Rattus norvegicus: one gene and its partners. The protein of the gene in region 1 interacts with the protein of each later gene in a biochemical or structural test. Links are inferred from orthologs where the notes say so. Each region holds a gene or a part of one and is shown in the gene's direction. Other genes may lie near its edges. The genes, in order: Mapk14, Mef2a and Dusp10.

Region 1 (4,320 bases):
CCTAAGGAAGCTCAACAGACTTGTCTTAATAAATGTCCGAAGCCCTCGTCGTTTCCCCAAACTTCCAAAGGCGTGGATTCTTTAAATTTCTCATGAATTATGTCTTTAAAATCCTCTCAATTTAAGTTCTTTTTTTTTTTTCTTCTTTTTTTTTTTTTTTTTAAAGATTTATTTAGCCGTCTTCAGGCACACCAGAAGAGGGCATCAGATCTCATTACAGATGGTTGTGAGCCACCATGTGGTTGTTGGGAATTGAACTCAGGACCTCTGGAAGAGCAGTCAGTGCTCTTAACCACCGAGCCATCTCTCCAGCTCCCTCAATTTAAGTTCTTAAAATTCTCCCAATTTTTCCTTTAAATTTCTAAATTTTGGATGGTTCTAAATTGGCAGGAGTCGGTCTCGAACCGGAGTCATGGGCTTTGGGGTGTTCCAGATATGGTCTCATAACAGCCCAGGCAGGTCTCTTAACTACTCACTATATAGCAGAGGCTGGTCTCCTGGTCTTTCCAAACGCTGGAATTACAGGCTACGTAAATCTAAATAAATACATCAAATATATGAGAAGGGTCTCTTGGTCTTTCCAGATGCTAGAATCACAGGCTGTATAAATCTAAATAATTCAGTAAATAAATAAAATCAAATACATGAGACGGGTCTCCTGGTCTTTCCAAACGCTGGCATTACAGGATGTGTACATCTAAATAAGTAAAATAAATGAGAAACTTTCCTGAAATGGAATGACCTACCTGCAGAGAGAGAGAGAGAGAGAGAGAGAGAGAGAGAGTGTGTTTCCCTTCCAGTCATGGGTATCGAACCCAGGGCCTTGCAAACGCAGGTCTCAGCCTCAAAGTGGCCATTCCTGACGTCCACCTCTGACCTTGTGCATCGGACTCCCTAGTGGGTCCCTGGAACCTCCTCCTACACCTTCCACGGTGGTTCTTCTGGTGAGGACATTTAGAAGCTGCTAGGAGCGTCCGGCGGGAGGGAGAGCCTGGGCTTTGAGACCGGGTTAATGTTTGCCTGGGTGGGGAGGGGGACAGGTTTCATCAGCGTCCCGAGATAAGCCACGCGTCCTTGAGCGGATGGGAACGCAACAGCTTTCTGGACAGGGCCAGTCTGCTCTTGCAAATCTTTCTTGGAAATCGCCGGCTCCGGTGAGCAGGTGGCTCGGAGCTCAAAGACCGCTTGGCTCTCTTTCCCCCCCCCGACGCCGTCCCAGTGGTTTTCCGCCACGGCGCCGGGCATTCGCCGGTCCGACCACAGAGAGGCGCGCGCGGCCTACGCTGCGGTCCGCCCCCACCCTCGGCGCCCCCCGGGAGCAGAGTCTCCCCTAGAGTTCCTGCCTCAGCTCCCGGAGCCGTGTCTCTCTTCTCGCGAGATCTTCCCGTCCCGCGCGCTCTTCTCGAGCACCCCCGCCCCACGGGCAGGTTCCATATTGGGTAAGATCTCGGCTCGCGGAGCTGTTCTCGCGAGAGTCCTGCTAGAGCCTCCCCGGCCGCTGCCTGCGGGGAGAGGGGGGAGATCGCGGCCACTGGAGCCCGAGCGGGCGCTAGAGCGCGAGCGGCTGTCGCGCAGCGTCGGCGTGCGCTCCCCAGGGAGCGGCTGCAAGGGGACCGCGGCGGGAGCTGCGTCGAACCGTGCAGCCGGCTCCCGCTCGTTGCCGAGGCTCGTAGGTGCCGCCGCGGCTGACAGGAGCCGTGGGTCGCAGCCTCCACACCTGCGCGGGCGCGGGGTCGGGTCTGCCGCGGGCGAGCGAGAGGGCGCAGAGGAGAGCGTGCGGCTGCAGGCAGGGGCCCTCGCTCGGCCACCTCGTCGCCGCGCTGCCGCCGCTGGAAGATGTCGCAGGAGAGGCCCACGTTCTACCGGCAGGAGCTGAACAAGACCGTCTGGGAGGTGCCCGAGCGATACCAGAACCTGTCCCCGGTGGGCTCGGGAGCCTACGGCTCGGTGTGGTGAGTGTCGCCGGGCTTGGGGTTGGGGGCGGGGGTGGGAGGGAACGTGGTGGAGCAAGCAGGGTGGCCCTGCATGCCTGAGCGCCAGGCCTGTCCCCACAGCTCAGCGATGCGCCCAGCGGCAGGAATTCTCCTGCGGGCGTGTCTTGGGGGTGCAGGGGGCAGTTGGAGCGGGACGTGTCCTGCACCCCTCGCCCTGCACACTCAGGTGGGTGGGGAACCGTGTGCGGGATCGGGTCAGCCGTGGGCGCGGTGTGATGGGGCTCCACCCTGTGCTCTCCATGCTCGCAAGATCGTTCCTCCCGGGGGTCCCTCTGCAGCCGTGCGGCCTCTGGACCCTGCCTCCGGGTACCGCCACTTGGCACGCAGGAGCCCTGCCCCGGGGAGCGGGCGAGCTGGGCGCAGCTCCGGCGAGGAGCAGTAGGTCAAAGCCTGACCCGGGGACTGCGGTCACCTGAACGAAACTTGCAAGAAAAAGCGCTCCCTTTCCCGGAATTTTTTTTTCTCTTTCTCAGTTTTTCCCTCCCATTTAACCATTTTTGCAAGCTTCGGTCGAAAAACCCAGAATCGGGAAACGTTCTTTTGGGATTCGCACCTGAATTAGCAGCACCCCGAAGGGCTTAAAATAATACCGACTTTATCTCGGGGACCGCGGGGTGCCAGCTTGCCGTGGTGTGTTTCCGATTCGGTTGAAAGCGTATTTCCTTTTCGGGGAGGGAGGGTGGCAGTGCCTGCAAGGACGCTCCAGCTCTCAGCTTAGTCACACAGCGCTGCTCAGTTCAGTATTGTTTGACAAAACCAGTTTTCCATACGGAGCCAGAGTGGTTCTGATCTGTTGGGCGCCCCTCAAAGATCAAAAAGGTGGGACCGAGTGCTGGAGTTGTAAATGGTTTTTAATTGGGATGCTTTTCTTTCTTTAAGCCCCTTAGAAGATTTGCAGGGGGCTTTAAGCTTGTAAGCACCGAGGCACATGGGGGTTTTTCGGGAGAACCTGGCCGCAGAAAACGATGCCTTTCAGCTTTCATTAACACTTCGGCTTTTTGTTTGAGTTCGTTTGAGACAGAGTCTCACTATGGATGGCCCTGTCTGGCCTGAGCCTCAGTGGCTAGACCAAAGCCTGGCCTGGAACTCAACAAATTTTGTCTCCTGCCAGCGCTGAGAATAAAGGCATTTGCTACCACACAAGGCCCTGGGAGCAGGTTTCAGATTAAATTTATACAGTCAAAGGTCCACTCCAGAAATGTCAGGGACTTTCAAGGATTCATATAGTCTCATTTATTGGGACTCAGTGTCAGTTTAGACCTCCCTATCTGAAAGTAAAGACCAGACTCAACAGACTAGACTCTTCTGCGTTTTAGTGATTTATATTCACGTTTCCCTGAAAGAGCCTGTGAAATGTTTTTTTTCCCCCCCTTTGGAACAAATTCTAGGCTTCTGGATGTGTTAATCTTTAAGTATGAATCCTGTGTTACTTAAAGTCACATCGTGAATTTCCTGTTTGGTAGAATCTTCCTGGTAATTGCGATTGTGCAACCATGTCCGGCAACAGATCATATTGCGTTTGCTCGTTGGAGCTGCCTAGGCTGTGCTGCTGATAGCACCAGCCCTGACCTCTTTCCCCCAAGTTTACAGACTGGCAGTTTGCATTTTAAAGGGGATGTCAATAATTTACATCCCGTGTTTGTGATTGGTTTGTTTCTCTAGTACTCACCAGCTCCCTCAGTATCTCCAGTCTTCATTGCTCACTGTTACAGCATCAGGCTTTTGTCCCCATTTGGATGCTTGGGAAGGATGGAGCAGAACTCAGGGCTTCTGGGAGAGGGAACTTGCAGGGTTTCCTAGGGCCACTGCTGCCCTGGCAGAAGAGCCAGCTTTACAGTGACTTGCCACAGTGAAACCAACACCACTTCCTCTAGTGCTGTTACTTTCTTGCAATGGGATTGAGCACAGCCTCCCAATGAGATAGACTTCTACCAAACAGTTTCTTTTTTTTTTTTTTGGTTCTTTTTTTCGGAGCTGGGGACCGAACCCAGGGCCTTGCGCTTCCTAGGTAAGCGCTCTACCACTGAGCTAAATCCCCAGCCCTTACCAAACAGTTTCTTGAACATAGGTAGTGCTGGCCTAGTGATGTAACCATGGCACAGTCCTGGCCTTACACTGCAGCAGTGCACAGCACAAAGCAGGTCGCTTGAAATAAGGGTCAAAGAGGTCTGCAGCAAAAAAAAACAAAACAAAAAAGAAAAAACCCTGCTTTCAGCCCTGCCTTCTAGTCTGTCAGTTCCTTGCCTGTCTTCCAGAGACACAGACATTTTTTTTTTAAATTTTTAACATTTATTTATTTATTATGTATACATCATACAGCTTTCTG
Region 2 (3,537 bases), on another chromosome or scaffold:
GCAGGCAGATCTCTGAGTTCAAGGCTAGCTGTTCTACAGAGTGAGTTCCAAAACAGCCAGGGCTTTACAGAGAACCCCCTGGTCTTGAAGCGCACACACACACACACACACACACACACACACACACACACACACACACAAAGAGAGACGAGAGAGACACAGATACAGACAGACAGACACAGAGAGAGATAAGGAGGATCCCAGTGATGGGGAGGGATGCTGCTAGCCTAGCCAGATGGCCCATATGAAGAACTGGTGTACAGCAGAGAGTTCACTATTGGGTCTATCATTCTAAGACAGGTAGAAAGCACATGCAGTTTCACTTTCTCCCCATTTGGGCCAAATTCCTGTGGCTCTGGGAAAGGAAGGAAGGAAGGAAGGATGGATGGACGGACGGACGGACGGACGGAGGAAAAAAAAGAAAGAACACCTTTTCTGTCATCAGAAGGCTGCATCGCGGGGCTGGAGAGATGGCTCAGTGGTTAAGAGCACTGACTGCTCTACCAGAGGTCCTGAGTTCAATTCCTAGCAACCACATGGTGGCTCACAACCATCTGTAATGAGATCTGATGCCCTCTTCTGGTGTGTCTGAAGAGAGTGACAGGGTACTCACTTATAAATAAAATCTTAAAAAAAAAAAAAAAAAGAGTCTCCTTTATGACGCTCAGAAGTGGACTGTGGCGGAGATCACCTAATTTTAGACTTCAGAGTAAATGCTTTGGCATCAGTACTAAAACTGCTATGTGGGGCTACCTGGAGGGTCAAGCAGTTTATACCTCTGATTGGCACTTTAACTCCAGGGCTAGTTCTTTCCAAACAACTTGTAATGGTCTTGTTGGCAAAGCCTAGGGGATGACCTTTACCTTCCCAGGTACCTGTATGAAAACAAACTGCTCCAGTCTATCAGATGCTTAGTAGCCTGTGAATTGTAGCCCATTGTTTGTCTTGCACAGAACTAATTTCAGAAAAGACCAGAGCTTGAACACTTAGAGAAATTCTGTTCGAGTTCATCAGTTACTTGCTGCAGAAGAGATTTTGAGTTAAGGGCAGATCTTTTTTACAGATGAGGAGCAGACACAGCTTAGTTGGTCAGCATTTGTAGGAAAGTTCTGCACTGTTAGACTTTCTAGTTTGTGCTGAGGTTGAGAAGCTAGGAAAGAAGGGAGCTAGAGAGGTTGGGTACACAGATGCGTGTCGCTGAGGAGGCCCAGTGTGGATTGAGTATCAGAGTTAGACTGCAGTATTCTGTGTGCCTCATTGCATGCCTTCCAGCATTCTCAAAATTCTACTGTGATACTACTCGTTTTTAAAAACACCATTAGTTTCTAAAGAATGTATATATGTATAAGCACTTTTTAATATTGCATACATATATTTTTACCGAGTCTCCAAGGAATTACTGAAACACATAAAAAGTGGGTGGAGTCGGGCGCCCTTAAAATCATGACTAAGCATGAGTCTCATTCCATCTGAGGTCACTGTCATTCTCCTCCCTAGAATAGCTGTTTCCTTTTGTGTTTTCTCTTTTCCCATATTATTGTGTATATTTTTTTTTTCTGTAGATTCTTAGTGTCAAGTCCACCATGCCAGGCAGTAAGTAAAGATATGAATAAAGGAGCAACTTTCAAAAATAGCCTGTGGTCTCATGGACACTTCCTCATGCCCTCAGTAACATCACTCCAGCTTTAAAAAGCATTAGCACGTCTGACAGGTGCCCTGGCAGGCCCTGTAAATAAAGTGTGTAGTCTTGTAGTGGAACTGAGGTCTGCCATAAGAAAGACCCTTAGCACTGGGAAAGTCCTGTTCCTATTGTGTCAGCACGGACATAGGCAGGAGGCCACCAGCCAGAGCAAGGTGAGTGTCACACGAAGGGCAGTGAGAGTTGAGCTGGAAGAGTGGGATTTGTTGGGTATGTTGCAGAGCATTACGATCATATTGTTGTTTTCAGACATGTCAGTTTTGGCTCTAATGGCCGAGTGGTCATAGGAGATGGCTCTTTGGTTAAGACTTGGTGCTAGTCTTGCAGAGGATCCATGTTTGGACCCCTCACCCACTTTAGGCAGCTTATAACTGCCTGTAACTCCAGCTCCAGGGGAGTCCAGCACCCTCTTCTGTCCTCTGTGGGAACCTTTACTCATGTGTACAGATACCCAGACACATAACTAAAATGATAAAAACAAGTCTTGTCTTTTAAGTGAGTGCCAATAGGTCGTAGAAAGGTTGTTTAGTGGTCCAAGTAATGGTTTACTGGTGGCTTAGACCAGAGTATTAGATTACATTGGAACCTCCTCAAGCTAAAGGGACAGCAAGGTAGAATTGACTAGAGTTGTTGATAGCTCAGGTTAAGCATGCAGCAGAGAAATAATGTGAACACTCGGTTTTTCTTGGCATGAGCCATTGGGTATGTTGGTGCAACTTATCAAGAAAGGAAAGACAGCTTTGAGAACATGAGTTCAGTTTGGGTTATGCCAGAATTAAGGTGTTTATGGAGATGGTCAAGTGGGTCTCTGGACAGGCCAAGAAGCCAAGAGAGAATTATGGACTGGAAGGGTTACTAGAGTAGACATCAGGCTAGAGGACCAACTGCTTTAAACACCTTTTTTGAAACATGAGAAAAAAGTTAAAAGTAGCAGTCTCTGCCTCCTTTCTTCAGAACTAAATGGAAACCCTGTGTTGATGATGAATTAAAGTAAGTACATGTAAGCAGTATCTAACAACCTAAGCCTTGGTCACAGTAATTGTGACTGAAGCATTCGTAGAAAATGACTTGTATGTCATAGAAAGATGTTCATGAATTTGAGGTGACATGTGCAGTCGGGGAGCTCCTGAAGCAAATGTAGTTGATTGTGTTGTGTATTCGTTCAGCAAGAAATGGTTCGTCCTTCCTGTCCTGCTGAGCATCAACGCCTGTCAATGCAGGTTCAATACAGTGTTCCAGTGTCTATCTTTTCCCAAGGGCCAGGTATATTTATCTGTGTAGTAATAATATCCTTCTTTTGTAGATTACTCATTGACCAGCGCTGACCTGTCCGCCCTGCAAGGCTTTACTTCCCCTGGAATGCTGTCTCTGGGGCAGGCTTCAGCCTGGCAGCAGCACCATCTAGGACAAGCGGCCCTCAGCTCTCTAGTGTGAGTAACTGGGAATTTTCCTGATCTTTTGCACTTGGCCTGCCCATACTTGTGTCAGTCCTCTTTGACTTTGTGGGCTGTCAGGAACAAGCCCTGCCATGACCCTCGCTTATGTTCACACAAGGGTCAGGAGAGAGTGTCTTCTTAACAGAGCTCTAGATAGCAGTGTGGGTGCTGAGGAACCAGGCGCTCCTTGAAGGGATCTGTGGAGCAAAACTTTTCTTATTAAATGTGGAGAGTCTCTGATGGTACCAAGGGAACCCTACAATGCAGATGGCACCTGCAGGCTCCCTTCTCACTCACTGCCAGATGAATAAGCCATTGTGTCCCAGCATGATCTCTGAGTTTGCTTTCTGAGGAAAGGGAGCTGAAAACATTTAGGCTCATCTGCATTCTCTCCTTTGCTTT
Region 3 (4,192 bases), on another chromosome or scaffold:
CTGAGCTAGAAGGGGGTAGGGTATAAAAAGCTCTATTGCTTTAGGATTCTTTGATGCAACTTCGTCACAGTTCATCTGGGCTTTTCCACTCCTTTGAATTCCAGAGTCACTCTTTTGCACCTTCCCTGATACTTTTCTGGCAAGGCGCTGGCAGGCTTGCCCAGCTTCCCACTTCTCTTCAGCGGACACATGCCACGACCATCTACTCCTCTGATGGACAAAGTTCGGGGAGCCGGGAGAGCTGGCGTGGGCCCTTCCATGCTCCTCAACCGCCGCTCATTCTGGCTGTACACCCCGAGCTCCGGCTCCTTCCCTCCAGCGCTTGCTGTTCCAGCCTGGCGCTCCTTGGCTCGCCGAGGGCCCTGCGCCACTGGGGGCCGGGGGCGGCCCAGCACCGGGGGACGGATGTATTGCGGGTTCCAAAACAACACGGCAGGGGAGGCGGCCGAGGAGGACACTGAGACTGGGGTGGGAGGAGGAGGTCGGTGCCGGGGCTGAGGGGTTTGAGGAGAGTTCGGAGGGCCCGGCCACGCCCAGCTCTGCGGGACGGCGCCCACGCTGCCGCTCAGCACGGGCCCCCACTGGCTGCCCGCACAGAGCCAGGCGTCCTCCTCCGTGTAGTTCTCTGGGGTGCAGCTTTCGGGTTCGGAGTCGGGCTCCTGAGAACAGACTGGGGACGGCGGAGGAGTGACAGGGGCACAGAAGTAGGGGAACAGAAGCACCGCGCGCAGCCGCCGCGCAGGAGAGCAGTAAGGTAGCCGGAGGGGCAGCGACATCTGCGGGCCGGGCCAAGCGGGGCTACGGGGAGGCCGGCCCTGTGCACGCTCACGTCCCGCGCGGCGCAGCTACAGCCATGGAGGGACCCTGTTTCGAGTCGTCTCTGGCCTCGGGAAAGTTGGACGGGCACTCTGCCTGGAATCAAAAGGTGGAAAGGAGACCCCGTGAGGCTGTGTCCGCACCAGGGGGCAGGGAAGGGTCAAAAGAACCAGTTTCAGCCAGAGCGACCAGAGCAAGCCATTGACACTTCAGTCCCGGGAAGGGTTAACCGCGTCCAGCTGCCTAGGTTTACATGTAAATAGAGAGCCGCTGCTCCAAGCGGGCCCGGGCTAGCACTTTTAAGTTTTTGATTGGTTGCCAATGACATCACCACCCGCGTTCTAACACACCAAACCCACAAGCGCGTCCGAGCCGGCCTCCATCCCAAGGCGAGGCCTCGCCCCTTTCTCCACCCTCCTTGGCCTCCTATTGGTCAGAGACCACTGTGATGTAGCGGGCGGCTGTCTCTGGGTCCTCACTGGCGCATTGTGCTGTCGCTCGGAGTCAGCCCCGCCTCCTCCAAAGCTTACATTTACGCTGTAGCAAAAGAGAAAGTAACTCTGTGTTGCTGCTGGGGATCAATGAAGCTGAGTGAATGGGGGCGCACTGCGCGAGCGCATAGCTGAAGCGGGCGCCAGATGGTAGAGGGCTACGCTTATTGATGAAGTAAGTGGAAGACATTACGGTCACTCAGAGCTGGAGGGCGGAAGGTTTTGTGTGTGTGTGTGTGTGTGTGTGTGTGTGTGTGTGTGTGTGTGTGTGTGTGAGAGAGAGAGAGAGAGAGAGAGAGAGAGAGAGAGAGAGAGGGGACTGAGACAGAGAGAGATAGACAGAAACAGAGACAGACCCACATCAGGCAAGGAAGATCCTAAGATTTAGGTTTTTGGGTCTGTTTGCCCTGGAATGAAGGGGGAAATGAGTTTTGGTTTGGTTAAGGTGCTTTATGGCAGTTTTCAAAGCCCAAGGCTTTGCTGATGCTCTGTGGTTGCATGGAAGAGAGATGCTACGTACCCCAGGAGTGGGGAATTTTTTCTTCAGTCCATGTTAGTGATGGAAGGGAGATTAGCAAGAAAGCGGGTAGGGGGGTAGTGCTATTTTTTTGTGGGAGGTTTCCCGGGCCAAACCGGATGGGTTTGGAGCTATCTGCTGCAAGGATGCAGATCTCCGTGCACTCTGCCTGTGTGCGAGCAGCACAGTGTAGAGGTACGGGTCCCAGCCTGTGTCTCTGGAAAGTCGTTCCTGGGTCCCCCTCCTAGGGAATGGGCTACTGATCCTGGATGTCCCTACCAGGTAGCACAATAGCAAAGACTTTGTCTGCATTTATGGTCCAGCCGAGACACAGTTACAGTTTCTGGAATAGTACTCGCTATGAAAAAAAAAAATACTACGCAAAGGAGGCAGGGAAAGAGGGAGGGAGGGATCCTTTGCTCCCAACCAAAGGTGGGTGAGAGAAACCGGAGTCAGTGGGGATATGCCTACACGGGTGGGTACGTGCTCCTGGGTGCGCGTGTGTGGATTTTCGCTGGTGACAATTTGGCTCGGTCTCAGAGAACAGTGCCGGTCATGAATAGACCGATGATTCTTGATGTTTTTCCAGACAGCTCTTAAAGTTCCTTTAGATGAGTGGCTTTTGCTTGGGGTTTGATTTCTCTATTAGACGAGTCAGAATTGCTATGTTATAGAGTGGCCTTCTGCCTGGGGGGAGGAGGTAAGTGACCCATTGCAGGCACCCTTGGAGGAGGCAGAGGTAACCCCTGTGGGCACTACTTCCTCGCTTCCCAATTAGCCTGTCTGTAGTAAAGGGACAAGTGAGGTGGCTCTCATCTTTGCTGTTTCCAAGAAGAATATCAGTACAGGACTGAGACATTTTTTACAAGTTCCCACTCCCATGGAGATGTAAAGTCTGCACTGCACTACCCAGGTGAAACTCAAGGGCCCCCCCTTTTTGCATAGGGGCACAGCACAGAGAGGGGTAAGGACAAGTGGGGTCACAGAGGAATGGGTCATGGGCCAGTTTCGGTTGGAGTTCGCAGACCTGACTCCCTTGGCCACTTGGTTTTTGGACAGTTATTCATAGTATAAGGGGAGCATGCAGCTTGATTTGATTTGGCAGAGGCTAGTGTAAGCTTTGAATAGGACGATGTTGAGCTTTTCAAAGGACTCGCCAGAATGGAAGGCACGATTAGCTCCTAGCCATGGAGATTGACATAGGAAGACACATTCCTTCAGATTTGCAGAAGGTTGACATCCAGCCCCTCATGTAAACGTAGTGCGTTTCTGTGCATCTCTGTGTGAGCTCTGAAAATGCTCTTGCCTGTCTCTCTGCCTTGGCTCTGGGGAAAGGAATACAGTAGATGCCAGGGTGGACAGATTCGTCCATCACAGGTCAAGTGGACTTCTGTGCAGGAGAGGAGGCTCAGAAGAAACCTAAGAGCCTCCCCGTCTGCCTTTAGTGCTTTCGGTCCTCTGCGCTTTTACCTTCACTGAGGCTGAACTTCGATGCAGGCCCACGAAAGTAGGTCTCTTAACCATTTCTGACGTCACGTCCGACTTTAAACTTTGGCTTAGCATCAGGATGGATGGGGTCCCTCAGGCATGCATCCTCTCTGAATATATCAAAGAGGATTTTTAGCCCGGGGATTGGATGAGACTGGCGCCCGTGTCATGTGACTGTTCTTTCTTTCTTCCTCTTCTCCACAGACTCTTGAGTTCTTCTTGAATCGCCAGTCTTCAGCCTACTCATGCCTCCGTCCCCTTTAGACGACAGGGTAGTAGTAGCACTGTCTAGGCCTGTCCGACCTCAGGATCTCAACCTTTGTTTAGACTCCAGCTACCTGGGCTCTGCCAGCCCAGGCAGCAATAACCACACTCCTGTCATTGCCACAGCCGTCGTGACCCTCAAGGCTGCGAATCTGACGTATATGCCCTCATCCAGCGGCTCTGCCCGCTCCCTGAATTGCGGATGCAGCAGCACTAGCTGCTGCACTGTGGCAACCTACGACAAGGATCATCAGGCCCAGACTCAAGCCATCGCTGCAGGCACTGCCACCACTGCCATAGGAACCTCGACCACCTGCCCTGCTAACCAGATGGTCAACAACAATGAAAATATAGGCTCTTTAAGTCCATCGGGCGGGGTGGGCAGCCCCGTGTCAGGGACTCCCAAGCAGCTAGCCAGCATCAAAATCATCTACCCCAATGACCTGGCGAAGAAGATGACCAAATGCAGCAAGAGTCACCTGCCCAGCCAGGGTCCTGTCATCATTGACTGCAGGCCTTTCATGGAGTACAACAAGAGTCACATCCAAGGAGCTGTCCACATTAACTGTGCAGATAAGATCAGCCGGCGGAGGCTGCAACAGGGCAAGATCACTGT

Evidence for each region.
Region 2: of the proteins of Mapk14 (region 1) and Mef2a, one has a biochemical effect on the other in vitro, tested with the Homo sapiens proteins (2 studies listed by BioGRID). The link is inferred for Rattus norvegicus from reciprocal best matches to the Homo sapiens genes MAPK14 and MEF2A.
Region 3: the proteins of Mapk14 (region 1) and Dusp10 form a complex in vitro, tested with the Homo sapiens proteins (2 studies listed by BioGRID, with this or other methods). The link is inferred for Rattus norvegicus from reciprocal best matches to the Homo sapiens genes MAPK14 and DUSP10.

Annotation. Positions count from the first base shown.
Region 1 is NC_086038.1:6,749,843-6,754,162, forward strand, and holds the start of Mapk14 (mitogen-activated protein kinase 14), read left to right. Parts: upstream 1-1,516; 5' UTR 1,517-1,836; coding exon 1,837-1,952; intron 1,953-4,320. UniProt on the Homo sapiens protein: Serine/threonine kinase which acts as an essential component of the MAP kinase signal transduction pathway.
Region 2 is NC_086019.1:130,263,158-130,266,694, reverse strand, and holds part of Mef2a (myocyte-specific enhancer factor 2A), read left to right. Parts: intron 1-3,002; coding exon 3,003-3,129; intron 3,130-3,537. UniProt on the Homo sapiens protein: Transcriptional activator which binds specifically to the MEF2 element, 5'-YTA[AT](4)TAR-3', found in numerous muscle-specific genes. Also involved in the activation of numerous growth factor- and stress-induced genes.
Region 3 is NC_086031.1:98,144,526-98,148,717, forward strand, and holds the start of Dusp10 (dual specificity protein phosphatase 10), read left to right. Parts: upstream 1-1,367; 5' UTR 1,368-1,482; intron 1,483-3,516; 5' UTR 3,517-3,557; coding exon 3,558-4,192. UniProt on the Homo sapiens protein: Protein phosphatase involved in the inactivation of MAP kinases. Has a specificity for the MAPK11/MAPK12/MAPK13/MAPK14 subfamily. It preferably dephosphorylates p38.